3 linked regions of the Canis lupus familiaris genome follow. The main gene of each other region encodes a partner of the protein of the gene in region 3 in a complex. Links are inferred from orthologs where the notes say so. Each region holds a gene or a part of one and is shown on either strand. Other genes may lie near its edges. The genes, in order: AKAP13, MAP2K3 and MAP3K20.

The links.
Region 1: MAP3K20 (region 3) and AKAP13 share a complex: the UniProt entries of both Homo sapiens proteins name them as parts of the signaling complex. The link is inferred for Canis lupus familiaris from reciprocal best matches to the Homo sapiens genes MAP3K20 and AKAP13.
Region 2: MAP3K20 (region 3) and MAP2K3 share a complex: the UniProt entries of both Homo sapiens proteins name them as parts of the signaling complex. The link is inferred for Canis lupus familiaris from reciprocal best matches to the Homo sapiens genes MAP3K20 and MAP2K3.

What each region holds. Positions count from the first base shown.
Region 1 is NC_049224.1:49,483,926-49,488,312, forward strand, and holds the start of AKAP13 (A-kinase anchor protein 13), read left to right. Parts: upstream 1-1,509; 5' UTR 1,510-1,621; intron 1,622-4,387. UniProt on the Homo sapiens protein: Scaffold protein that plays an important role in assembling signaling complexes downstream of several types of G protein-coupled receptors.
Region 2 is NC_049226.1:42,970,407-42,973,630, reverse strand, and holds part of MAP2K3 (dual specificity mitogen-activated protein kinase kinase 3), read right to left. Parts: intron 775-3,224; coding exon 635-774; intron 1-634. UniProt on the Homo sapiens protein: Dual specificity kinase. Is activated by cytokines and environmental stress in vivo. Catalyzes the concomitant phosphorylation of a threonine and a tyrosine residue in the MAP kinase p38.
Region 3 is NC_049257.1:17,648,582-17,652,778, reverse strand, and holds the start of MAP3K20 (mitogen-activated protein kinase kinase kinase 20), read right to left. Parts: upstream 2,839-4,197; 5' UTR 2,683-2,838; intron 1-2,682. UniProt on the Homo sapiens protein: Stress-activated component of a protein kinase signal transduction cascade that promotes programmed cell death in response to various stress, such as ribosomal stress, osmotic shock and ionizing radiation.

The sequences.
Region 1 (4,387 bases), on a different chromosome or scaffold from region 3:
CAGATTTCAGCTCAAGTCTAACTCGTAGTTAATTTCTAAGATTTAAAGCCACCCCACAATGGAAGTGACAGATACACCCAGTAAGTACTCCCATACCCCTCTCTCAGTCCCTGGTGGTAAGCTTGCCTGGATTAGGGTTTCCAAAAAAGAAAGTCATGCACTTCTTTTCTTTCTCTCTTTCTTTCTTTCTTTCTTTCTTTCTTTCTTTCTTTCTTTCTTTCTTTCTTTCTTTCTTTCTTTCTTCTTTCCTTTCTTTCTGCCATATCTTGTGCCAATATTTAAAAAATGAACACAGACAAATACATGTGTAAACTGTGCAAAGTGCACTTAAGTGTAGAGCTGAATGAGTTTTCATGTTTATAACTTTGTTATCCAGCATCTAGATCAAAATACGGAACATTTCCAGCACCCCTCCTCCTTCTCAGCTAATAATCCTTCTACGCCTGGGTAACCACTGTTTTTAGTTCAAACACTATCAATTTGCACGTGCTTGCACTGCATGTAAGATGTCGTTTTTTACTGAATATTTTTCTTTAAATAGATTCTTTTTTTTTATAGCTTTCTATTTAATCTAAGAAATAGCATCAGTGAAATAACAGTCTGATGTGACAGGTATTTTTCTCCTAATGAAACACACTGAAGCACACAGACACAGACACACACACACACACACAACTATCAAAATGAAGTTTCTTCCATTGGTTAATGGACCGTATTTCGTTTCTCAAAAGCCTCCAGGAGGGATTCCCGGAGGAAATCTGCAACTAGCAGATTGTTATGATTTTGTGGTGATGGAGGAGCCAAAAGTTCATGGAATGCACTGTCACCATCCCGATGCCGCCAGCGAGCCATCGCTGCATCCAATGGTCCATCATCCATCGAAAACACTTGTTGCATACCTAACAATGACTCCCAGAGGCACTGACACGCAGAAGACGAAACCCCACGTTCTGGTTGCAAGTGGAAGGAAACAGAAAAGTTAATCATCTGACTATGTGTGTGGTTGGCAACCGCGGCAGCCCCGGTAAGCACCGGCCCCCAGAAGCAAGGCGGTTTCCGGAGACCCGGCGGAGAGGAGAGAGCGGCTGGGCAGCCCCTAGAGCAGCCTCGGCCAGCCGCTCGCTGCCTCGCTCCCTCGCTCCATTGGGGCGCCTTCCCCGCGGCACAGCGGCGGCGCTCACCCTCCGCCTTCCCTAGCAACCTGAACGCACCGCCCACCTGCCTTCCTATTGGCCTCCGGAGCTTGATGGGCAGCTCCGCAGCGCAATCCCACGTCGCAGCCCCCGGCTCCGCGCTTACTCATGGGAGGGCTCGTAGGCGTTGCCGCCCCCCGGGTGCCCCGCCCCTGCCCGAGCCGCCTGTGGCGCCTGCGCGGACGAGCCGGAGCTGTGTGCGGGGCCAGCGCGGAGCCGGAGCAGCCGCCGCGAAGCTCCCGGGCTCCGCCGAGACCGCCGTGCCCGCTCGCTCGCCGCCTCGCCCCCGCCGCCTCAGCCCCAAGCCGCCGCCGCCGCCGCCGCCGCCGCCGCCGCCGCCGGGCGAGCGGCCGCCTATTGTCCTTCCCGGCGGCGAAGGTGCGGAGCTGCTCCGGCTGGGCCCGCGGGGGAGCCCCGGGCGCCGCACGGTGAGAGCGCAACTTAGTTGGCGGAGTTGGGGGAAGTTTTGGGATTTGGGGAGGGGTCGCGGGCGAGGCGCGCGGGCCCCTCCCCCTGCGGCTGCTCGGGGGCCGGGGCCCGGGCGGGGGCCGGGGCGGGGGCCGGGGCGGGGGCGGGGCCGCGGGCGGGCGGGGTGGAGGGCGGTGCGGGGCGCCCCGCGGGCCCCCGCCTCCCCCTCGCGTCGCCCCCTCGCCGCTCATTGTCTGCTCCGGGCCCGCGGCGCGCCTGCCCGCTCCCCCAGCCGGCGCCGGTCCCTCAGCCCGGGAGCCGCGGCCCCTCAGGCTCCCTCCGGACGCCGGGCTCGGCGAACAAGTGCGGCGGGCGCGAGGGAGCGGCTCCCCGGGCCGGCGCGGACGGGCAGCACGCAGGGCCGCGCCCGCCTGTGGGGGGCGCCCTCCGCGGCCGCTCCCGGGCCGCGCGGGTCGGGGCCGGGGCCGGGGCCGGGGCCGGGGCCGGGGCCGGGGCCGGGGCCGGGGCGGGACTGCGCCGCGGCTCAGCGCTCCGCCGAGTTCAAGTGCGGCCATACTTGGAGACCAAACAAAACAGTTTTGGGGGGGCGGGGGGCCGGGGGGGGGCTTGCTATTTTTTTTTTTTCCAAAAACCACTATGAGAAGAGCTTTTTTTTTTCTTTTTTAATTATTATTATTTTTTTATGTGGGGAAAACCCTCAGGTTTTCTTCACCAAAACAGGTTTTTTGGTTTTTTTTTTTTGTTTGTTTGGTTTTGTTTTTGGAAATACGTAGTTTTTAACAGCAAAATGATTTCGTCACATTTAAGTTTTTTATTTTTATTTATTTTTTATTTTTTTATTTTTTTTATTTTTTATTTTTTTATTTTTTTTATTTTATTTATTTTATTTTTTTTACATTTAAGTTTTTTAAATGTTAACTGTGTACTGAGGAATTCACAATGAAAGTTGGATTGAGCAATATTTTGGTGTTCCATCCCAGCTTTTACACTCCTGGGTGAAGTTATTTTGGGAGTTTATCGCCTCGGGCATATACACAACTGGAGGAAAAAGCAGTGTGCCTTTTTATCTTATTCCAGTGCATTTCCACTCCTCCTCCCCCCACCCCCCCCACCCCCGCTTTGTTTTCTGAAGAACCACCTCATTCTTTTTTTCTAAACCTTTGGATTGCCCAGATGAGAACAAATGCTGCATGTAGTTTTTGAAAGACTTTTTTTTTTTTTTGGCAAGTTTCTAAAGGAGTTATGATCAGCTGAGATAAATCACTGTCCTAGTTCTCGTATTCCTTGGGTCTCTTGGTTTGGTTTGAAAAACCAACTTTCTTCACCTGATGAGGCTGAAGGATAGTGTCTGTATGGCATAGCACTGTACTTCTGAGCTACAACAACAAGGTCGCTTTTAGGAGTCACGGTTCTTGCTCTTAGAAGCTTGCCTTCCTGGTTGTGCAGTCGCGTGTGCCTCCTTGGGGTGGTCGCGTGGATGGAAGGGGCTGTCAGGGAGGGACATCACGTAAGCAAATGTTGCTTGCAACAGAATGTGACAAATAGGCCAGTGGCTTTTCTCCTCTGAGCTGTGATGCCATGTTATACATACTTTTGTTTCAGGATTTCTCACAAGCTTCATTTGTTTGCCTAATAGTGTATACGTTAGTATAAATGGACTCCTCCTCTAGACTGTTATCTCCTTGAGGGCTGTTGATGGGCTTTATTTCCTACTTAGCTTTGTCCCTTCTGCCGAGAAGGACTCTTAACGCAGTGCAGGTGTTCAGCGTATGTCTGAATTGGATGAAGTGCTTTGTACTTCATCCAAGCTAGTGATAGTGTGCATAGAACCACGGATTCTGGCAACTTACCCAAAATTGACAGTTCACTTGCAGATCTGTGATGAAATTTATTTTAAAAGGATTTCTAACCCCCCCTCCCTTTTTTTTTTTAGGGAGATTTTATTTGATGAGAGCGAGAGTGAGCACAAGCAGGGGGAGCAGGAGAGGGAGAATCCCGTTCCCTGCTGAGCAGGGAGCCTGATGTGGGGCTGGATCCCAGGACCCTAGGATCATGACCTGAGCCGAAGGCAGACATTTAACCGACTGAGCCACCCAGATGCTTGAAAAGAAGTGAAGTTTAAATAGTGCACTATGGATTTTCAAAAGTGTGGTTCTTGTTTTAGAAGTTTTCTCCCTTTTCTGATGAAATGATTAAGATTGCTGGACAAATCATTTCACATCTCTGCCTATTCTCTTGTGAAATTGGGGAGGTAGTACAGTTTTGAAGAATATATATTTTTTAAGGTAGCTAGGTACATTTGAGTTCAGCTCCCCATACTTCGACTAGTTGTGAGCCTTCAGTGGGTTACTTAAGTCCTCAGAGCTTCTGTGCCCTACCATACAGTGCAGTAATATATTTTGCAGTGTTCTGTGGAACATAGCTGAAATTATGTGAAGTACTTAATGGTGTGCCAGACATTAAGTAGATGCCTCTTACCTGGTAGCTGTAATGATAATAATTTTGATAACTTTAAATGTGATTTGAAGCAGTTTTAAAAGTCTGATGCTTCTGAGTTTAGTGATTTAGCTATTTCTTTCATAAACAAGAAATCCTGAGAATTGTCTTTAGTTGAATGTTTTTTTTTTAAGGAGTTAGTTGAACTGAATGTTCATAGAAACTGTTATCTTCCCATTAACCTTAACGGGTCTTTGGGATTTGCAGAATGGCTTGGGAGAATATGGCTGTGCATTTATAGTGTTTAAGAAATGGTGACAGATGGGTTG
Region 2 (3,224 bases), on a different chromosome or scaffold from region 3:
GCTCAGCAGGGAGTCTGCTGGAGATTCTCTCTCCCCCTCTGCCCCTCTTCACCCTTCCCTCTCTCCCTCCCTCTCAAAGAAATAAATCTTAAAATAACAAAACAAAACAAAACAACTCCAAGAGTTGGTCAGAAGAATTTACTTTGCATTACCACATATCTCATCCCTCTGCAGTTACGCACTTCTTGTTTGATGTAATTATGGGCAGGGAACATGACCTGGATGACTCTGCCTTCTTCCTTTTCCCTGTTTCCTTTTCAATCTCAAACATATTTTTTAAATAGAGCTCCCATGGGCATTCTTTACCTTGGTACAAAGTTCTACGCGTCAATAAAGCAACTCTGTCTGCTACTCAAGTCCCCCGTCTGCTCTTTGTTTTCTTTTCCTGGCTGCCTGGTCTGTCCGTCTCTAGAAGGACTATTAAAATCTCCCCAAGGACCATAGTTTGCCACAGTTTCCTTATGCTCTATTAATGCCTTGCATATTCTGATGCCATGCTGTTTGGTGGTTATTTGCTAACGGAGGAGGGGACTGGGCACCAGGAGGAGCTGGAATTGGGCCAGAGTAGGGAAGGGTGCCACCTGGGGCTTGGGGGGGGGGGGGTCTCAGAGCCAGTGCAGGGCTGCAGACTCACCACTGTGCAGTGAAGTCCACGAACTCAGGAGAGAAACGGTCGGCCGGGAGCTGGGGAGATGGCTCTTCCACCACCTGCTTCAGCTGCTGGAACGGAGTCCCCCAGGATTCATACGGAAACCGTAGAATGGCCATCTCAATCTGCAGTGGGGGCGGTAACTCTGGTCAGATGCGCACACACTCTGCCCCCAGGAGCAGGGCATTTGGGGAACCTGTCTGGCCTGGCTTGCCACCCAAAGCTGGGCCACAAGGCAGGTTGAGGGGCAGACACATGACATCAAAACGAAGATGAAAGCCGGGGGAACAGCAAGCGTTGCTTCCTCTGACCCAGCCTGCACACACTGGCTCAGGAAGCAAATCCAGCCCGGAGTTGTGACTGGTTTGAGCATCATCAGGCTTTCAAACAACCTAAATTCAGAAGGCTTTACATAAAAACCCAAGTGCCAGCTAATCTGGAAAAATCAGAGGCGCTGACAGTCCCCCAGGGCAGCAGTCGGCAAAGGCGGCAAAGGCGTGTGGGACAGGCAGCAGCTTCCCCGCTCACCACACGCCACCCCTCCCTAACGTCTCCACAGGGTCTTAAGTATCTGCTGCCGTTTATTTGGGTAGTTGTCATTATGCCAGAGCAGGCAAAGGGGAAATGAAATTATCCCCGTCAGCCTGCCTCTCCCCGAAGCTGGAGATGCTGAGACCTGCGTTTGGTCAGCTCCTTTACTTTGGCAATGGCCCCCTGGGGCCCCATCAGACACTGAGGTTTGCAGGTGCTCCTTCTACTCCCCCCAACCCTCATCAGTGGCCAGCAGGACCCATCTCCAAGGCCCCCTCCTCCGGGAAGACTTCCCCCTCCCTGCGGACCCCCTGGACTCCCTGCAGGGGACACTGAGGCCGCCTGTCCTCTGCACCCGTGCCAGACCCCTAGCCACATGCCTTGCCTACAGTTGGTGGGAAGTCATTTGTGGAAAATACCAGCTATCTAACAACAAACTCTGGGTTGATTCTGACTGCTGAGTTTAAAAAAAAAAAAAAAAAACCAGGTCAGCTCAGGCCCCCCGCCTGAAACAGCAGAGAGACTTCTCACTGACAGGCCATAATCACCATAATGAACACAAGAGACCTCAGCTCAAACAAATGCTTCGTGTTGGCAACTGGCGCCTGAACAGCTTACTAATTATTGTGCTAAGAAAGGGCCTTCCCATTAGGCTAAAGGCCCCTTTCTAGCCAAGATATAAACACACCCCACAGATGGAGGGTGTGCAAAATGCGGCAGGCACGCTTGTGATCTGGTGTGGGGTTTCACAGGACAAATTCAGGATGCTGTTTCCTAGAATTGTCACCGATTCCAAGTAGCACAAGTTAGGATCCTGTGTGGGTTTCCAGGAAAGGACCTAGGGTCCTACCAGACTTACAATTAGGAAAACAGAAAATTGTCCAGACTCTTGACCCCGTAATCCATTTTCCTGGTAATTTTTTCTAATGAGCTCAAAAGATGAAAAACAAAACAAAACAGGCTCTGGGCAGAAAAATGCATGGTATGGTGTGATCCGTAACAGTGAGTATTAGGAAGCAGTCTAAACACCCAGCACCAGGGACTGGCCTGCCACGGGGCGGCTGAGTCTCAGCCATGACCATGAGGGCCATGCTCGGAGACCCCACTCAGGAATTCATGCGATCAGCACTTGACCAAATACTTGTTATGGTCAAGAGCCTTCCCGAATATCATCCCATGTCTTTATGTTGGTGGCTGTGGTCAAGTGCCCACAGAGGGCTACCCGGCGGGGGTTCTGAAAGAGAACCACCGAGAGGGGCAGGCCTGGCACCCAGTGCCTCAGAGGTTACTCCTCCAGGTCAACCAGGGATTTCAGATGGAAGGGAAAAAAAAACAGAAACAAATAAAACGTCCCACATTAGGGACTGGCTGTGTAGCTGGTGGCAGATGGTTGTGGCGTCCCTTGAAGAGATGCCTACAGGGGTTTCTAACAATCCAGAGAAACATGAGTGATGTGATGCTAAGTGAGAAAAGCAAAATAAAAACCATAGATGTTTTTTAGAAAGAGGCAAAATGTCTAGAAGGAAATGCACGGTGTTGGCACTCGATGGTAGGGAGAAGGGGCTATGTGTCTTTGAATGGAACCATGATGATTTTTTTTCTTCTTTTTACTTTCTCTCTGTGTTTTTAGAGAATGTTTCTATTACTTTTGTAACTTTTGGGGGAAATACCTAACCTCCACCATAGCAGCCAGTCTCCTACGCCGCCAACACAGCTTCTCCTATGTGTGCATGCTAGTACCCATCCAGACACAGCCTCTATCTCCCCTTGACCCTGGCATGGCCTATGACACTTTGACCAACATAATTAGAAGTGACACTGTGCCAGTCCTGGGACAAGCAGTTCAGAGCACTTCTCTCATGGAAGCCAGGCACCCCAAGACTTCAGTAACCCTCGGCACCACGCTCTGAGGAAGCTAGCGGGCAGCCAGCCCGGAGGAAGTCACGTGGAGGCCCCACATCTCTAAAGCCTTCTCAGACCTTCCAGCCCAGCCCTGACCCCAGCCAGAGCCAGGTGGCATAGAAGAACTGCCTGGCTAGTCCAG
Region 3 (4,197 bases):
ACGTCTTTTTTTTCCACTCTATCATTCTGCTCTTTCCTTAAAATCTGTTGGTTTTTTTTGTTTTTTTTTTTTTTTTGGCCTTAAACAAACCGTTTCCTTAATACAGTAATCACTAGATTGCTTATTATCCACCCAAAGTTCAATTTGAGGCTTTAATTTCCTATTAGCATTTGTGATGCGAGGTTAGGGTGTCAATGCAAGGCTGCTTTGTTCTCACAGAATCTTCTACTGTGCTGGGATTATTTAACTGCTATTAGGGCATAATCGATGCTTCAGCTGTCTGTAGGAGGGTCTGACACAAAAGCACCCATGTATCAGGCAAACCAATCTAAGCTCTAGCATTTACAGTTCTCTTCCCTTAACAGGTACAGTTTTCTGGTCACAGCTGGAACTCTGCTTATTTGTGTGTAGTGGGGCAAGGTTAATAGCCACAAAAGAAGTAGCCTAAATCTTCCCTGCAGTAGGACCAAAAGGTGCCTTAGCTATTCCCATTACATTTAGATAGACAAGACACCCTCCCTGTCAATCTGTCCTGGGTAGAATAAAATGGAAAAACAAATGATCCAAATTGATTTTTATTTTCAATATCTCTGGATACAGACACAAGGCTATCTTATTCCAAGAAGTACTGTGTCACCACAAACATCTTTTTCTGGGTTTTTTTTTTTTTTTTAAATCATTGATTCTCTCCTCTCTTTTCTCTGAATCTAACAACTTCTAAAAACTGTCCATTTTTCTCTTTTACTCCACACAAATAGCTTCACTGTATGTCTGACCTCCTTTCATGAAACATCATTGTAATTTCTCCAGTGTTTTCTCTGACTAGATTAATCCTCCAGGCTCCTCATAACTCCTGTTTATAGTTTTGTAGCCCTGTCAAAGTCAGTTTCACTGCTCATTCCAGATAGGCTCTCAGCCAATATATTGCCAATAACACTCACTCTTGTGCTAACTTAAAATACACAGTGCAGCTTGCCAAGTTTCCTTATTTGGCAAGAAGGTCCCTTAGTTCCCAAGATCTTTGACCATCCATTTTTAGATCCAAATCCTCCTGCTTAATATCTGGATATTTCTCTCTCCTTTTCTCTTTTTAATGTGTCTTATGTGTTCCGTAAAAGAGTAAGACGAAGAGATCAGTCATCTCTTTGCTTTCCTAGACAAGAAAAGGATCCTTCCCATTGCACTGTGGTCATTGACTCTAGAATTATCACCACTGTAACTTTTGATTCAAACAGTATTTTCTAGGTCAAAAAAAAAAAAAAAAAAAAAAAAAGCCTCCCAGAAAAGTTATAGTAGGAATTCTGTTGTGAGAGACTAAACTGTACACATTGCTTTATGAGGCCTTTTTCTTAATTTGCTCTTTCCAAACAAACCGGATTCATGTTCATTTGCAATCTCCCAAATCTCTCCCACTGGCCGTAGCAGGAACTTTAAACAAAGGCTCTGCAAACGACCAAAACCATAATTAAAATGCATCCGTCAGACTTTTTTTTTTTTTGAAAAATCAAAAAAACGACGTGAAATTTCACTGTGGAGATGGGCCTGTACTGCAAGCAAAAGTCATGGACTCTCTGGAATCACTTGCTTTTGTCTTTCAACACGTCTGTAGGTTTGGATCCCCTGGATCCCGACTGTTCACTTCAGCCGAGGTCAGCGAAGCAAGAAGGGCTCTGACCTCACGCAGCCTCGGAGCTGAAAGCAGCACCCACGGTAGCAACCACCTCGCACGCTCCTGGACGTGGATCCCGCTACATTCCCAGCCGAGAGCGGCCTGCGGCGGATCCCTGGCCCGGGCCCGGACGCCGGCGCTTTCGTTACTGAAGAAACTAACACAACTACCTCCGCACGAAGTCCTCCCCACCCGGGCTTCTGCGGGCCTCTCGGGGCGCGGCGGGAACACACGCATGCAGCCATCTGGCACGGACGGCGCGGTCTGCGTCCTGCGCGTGTGTGTGCGCGTGCGTGTGTGTGCGTGTGTGCGCGTGCCTGTGCGTGTGCATGCATGTGTACCTGTGTGTGCGTGCATGTGTGCGTGTGAGTGCCTTGCGTGTGCACCTGTGTGTGCACGTGTGTGCGTGTGCATGCATGTGTGCGCGTGTGCGTGCATATGTGTGTACGTGTGTGTGCGTGTGCGTGTGCGTGTGCGGCAGTTCGGAGCCGGGTCGCCGGCCGGGCGTGCTGAAGTTGGTCTGCGAGCTGTCCGGGCCTCCGCGGGGCCTCCGCGGGGCCGAGGGCGGGGGGCGGGGGGCCGGGGCCGGGGCGGCGGACGGGTGCGGGCCGGGGGGCTGCTCGGTGTCCCGCGGAGGCCCGGCGGCGGCTCGCGGAGGCAGAAGGCGCCCGGGCGGCTCCCCCCTCCCCGCAGCCCTCGGCCCGGGGCCGCCCGCGCCTGCGCCCCTCGCAGCCCCGCGCCCCTCGGAGCCCCGCGCTGCGCCTCCGGGGCCGGGTGGGCGGCGGCCAGGCGGGCGCTCGGCCCCGGGGGCGCGGGCCGGGCCAGGGGCCGCGGCGGCGGCCGACGGCTGCGCCCGCCCTTCCGGAGGCCAAGCTCGCGGGGCCCTCGGGCGGCCGCCGGGAGCGCGGGCCCGGGGCGGGGCGGGGGCGGCCGGCGGGGCCGGCGGGGCCTGGGCCGGGTGCGGGTGCGGGCGAGCGCCCCCCGTCGCCTCCGCGGCCCCGCGCGCTCCTTACCTGGCTCCCGGGCGGGGCGCGGCGGCGGCAGGAGCGGCAGCAGCAGCCGGGGCGCCGAGGCCCCGCGCGGCGAGGGCAGGGGCGGGGGGGGGACGGCGGCCCGCGCGGCTCCCACGCTTCCGCCCGAGTCAGGAGTTGAACATTCCGCCTCTCCGCCCGCGCCAATGAGCGAGCCGCCGCGGCCGCAGCACCACCTACCTCGGAGCGCGGGCGGGCTCCCGGCGGCTCCCCCGGCCCGGCCGCCCCGCGCCGCCCCGCGCCGCCCCGCGCCGCCCCGCCCCGCCCCCGGCGGCCGAGCACCTGCCCGCGCGCCCCAGGCCCCGCCCCGGGGTGCCCTGCGCCCCCGGCAGCCGCCCCTCGGGCTCGCGAGGCGCCCCCGCGCCCCGGGCCTCGGCCGCACACCTCGCCCTGGGCCGCCGCGCGGGGGAGCCGGGCCCAGGCGGCGTCGGGCCCCGCGGCCTCGGGCCCCAGGTGGGCCCACGCGGACCCGGGGGCGTCGCTGCGCTTAGGGCCGCACCTGCCCCGGCGGGACCGCCCGCAAACACCTGGGGAAGTTGAGGAGGGGTCCTGGCCCGCCTCCCTGGTTGCTGACCTTACCTAAACGGAGGTCGGACGAGGACGCTAGCATCGTTCCGGGCGTGAGCAAAATGTGGCACCGAGTCTGGGGAAGAAAAGTGTTGACTGGGCGGGATGGTCCTGCGGAGGAAGAGTGGGGCGAGGGTCGCCGAGGGGCTGACGGCGTCATCCAAGGGTTTGAGTTTGCAATTGGGTCATCTACGGGCACTGCGGGAAGTTAGAGTCAAAGGGTTAAAATAGGTGTTTGTGTTTGCCCAGTGGTGGGGGGGGGGGGGGGAGAGCGAGCAGGCCACGTGGTTGCAGGATGCGTTGCTAGGACGAAACTGGGAAGCAGCGAGGGAGGTAAATACTGTCACCACCCGGTCAAGGGGTCGTGCGGGCCTGAGCAGCGCAGGAAATGGAGCTGGGAAAGGGGGGATGGAATTGAGAGACCTGTCTCAGGAGGAGGCCACAGAAGCTGGGGGTGTGGAAGAGAAGGAGGAAAGAGTCAGAGGTGATGCCAAGGTTTCAGACCTGGGTGACTGGAAGAGCGATGGTGTCATTGACAGAAATAGGGATATGTCGGGGAGAAGCTGGCTTCCTGCTGAGTCCGAGGTCATGGGAGGAAAAACAGGTAGAGATGCAGCCGTGGAAATATGAAACGGAGACTCAGAAAAGAGGTCATGGGAGAAAGAGCATCGTAAATCGTCGGTTGAAAACATGAAAGCAGAGGGATGGGTGAATATAAGCTAGAAACACCACTCTCTAGTCTGTTATTTAAATTATCAGGGATCCCTGGGTTGCCCAGTGGTTTGGCGCCCGCCTTCGGCCCAGGCCTGTTCCTGGAGTCCCAGGATCGAGTCCCGCATCGGGCTCCCTGCATGGAGCCTGCTTCCCCCTCTGCCTGTGTCTCTGCCTCTCTCTCTCTCTCTCTCTCTCTCTCTCTGTATGTGTCTCTCA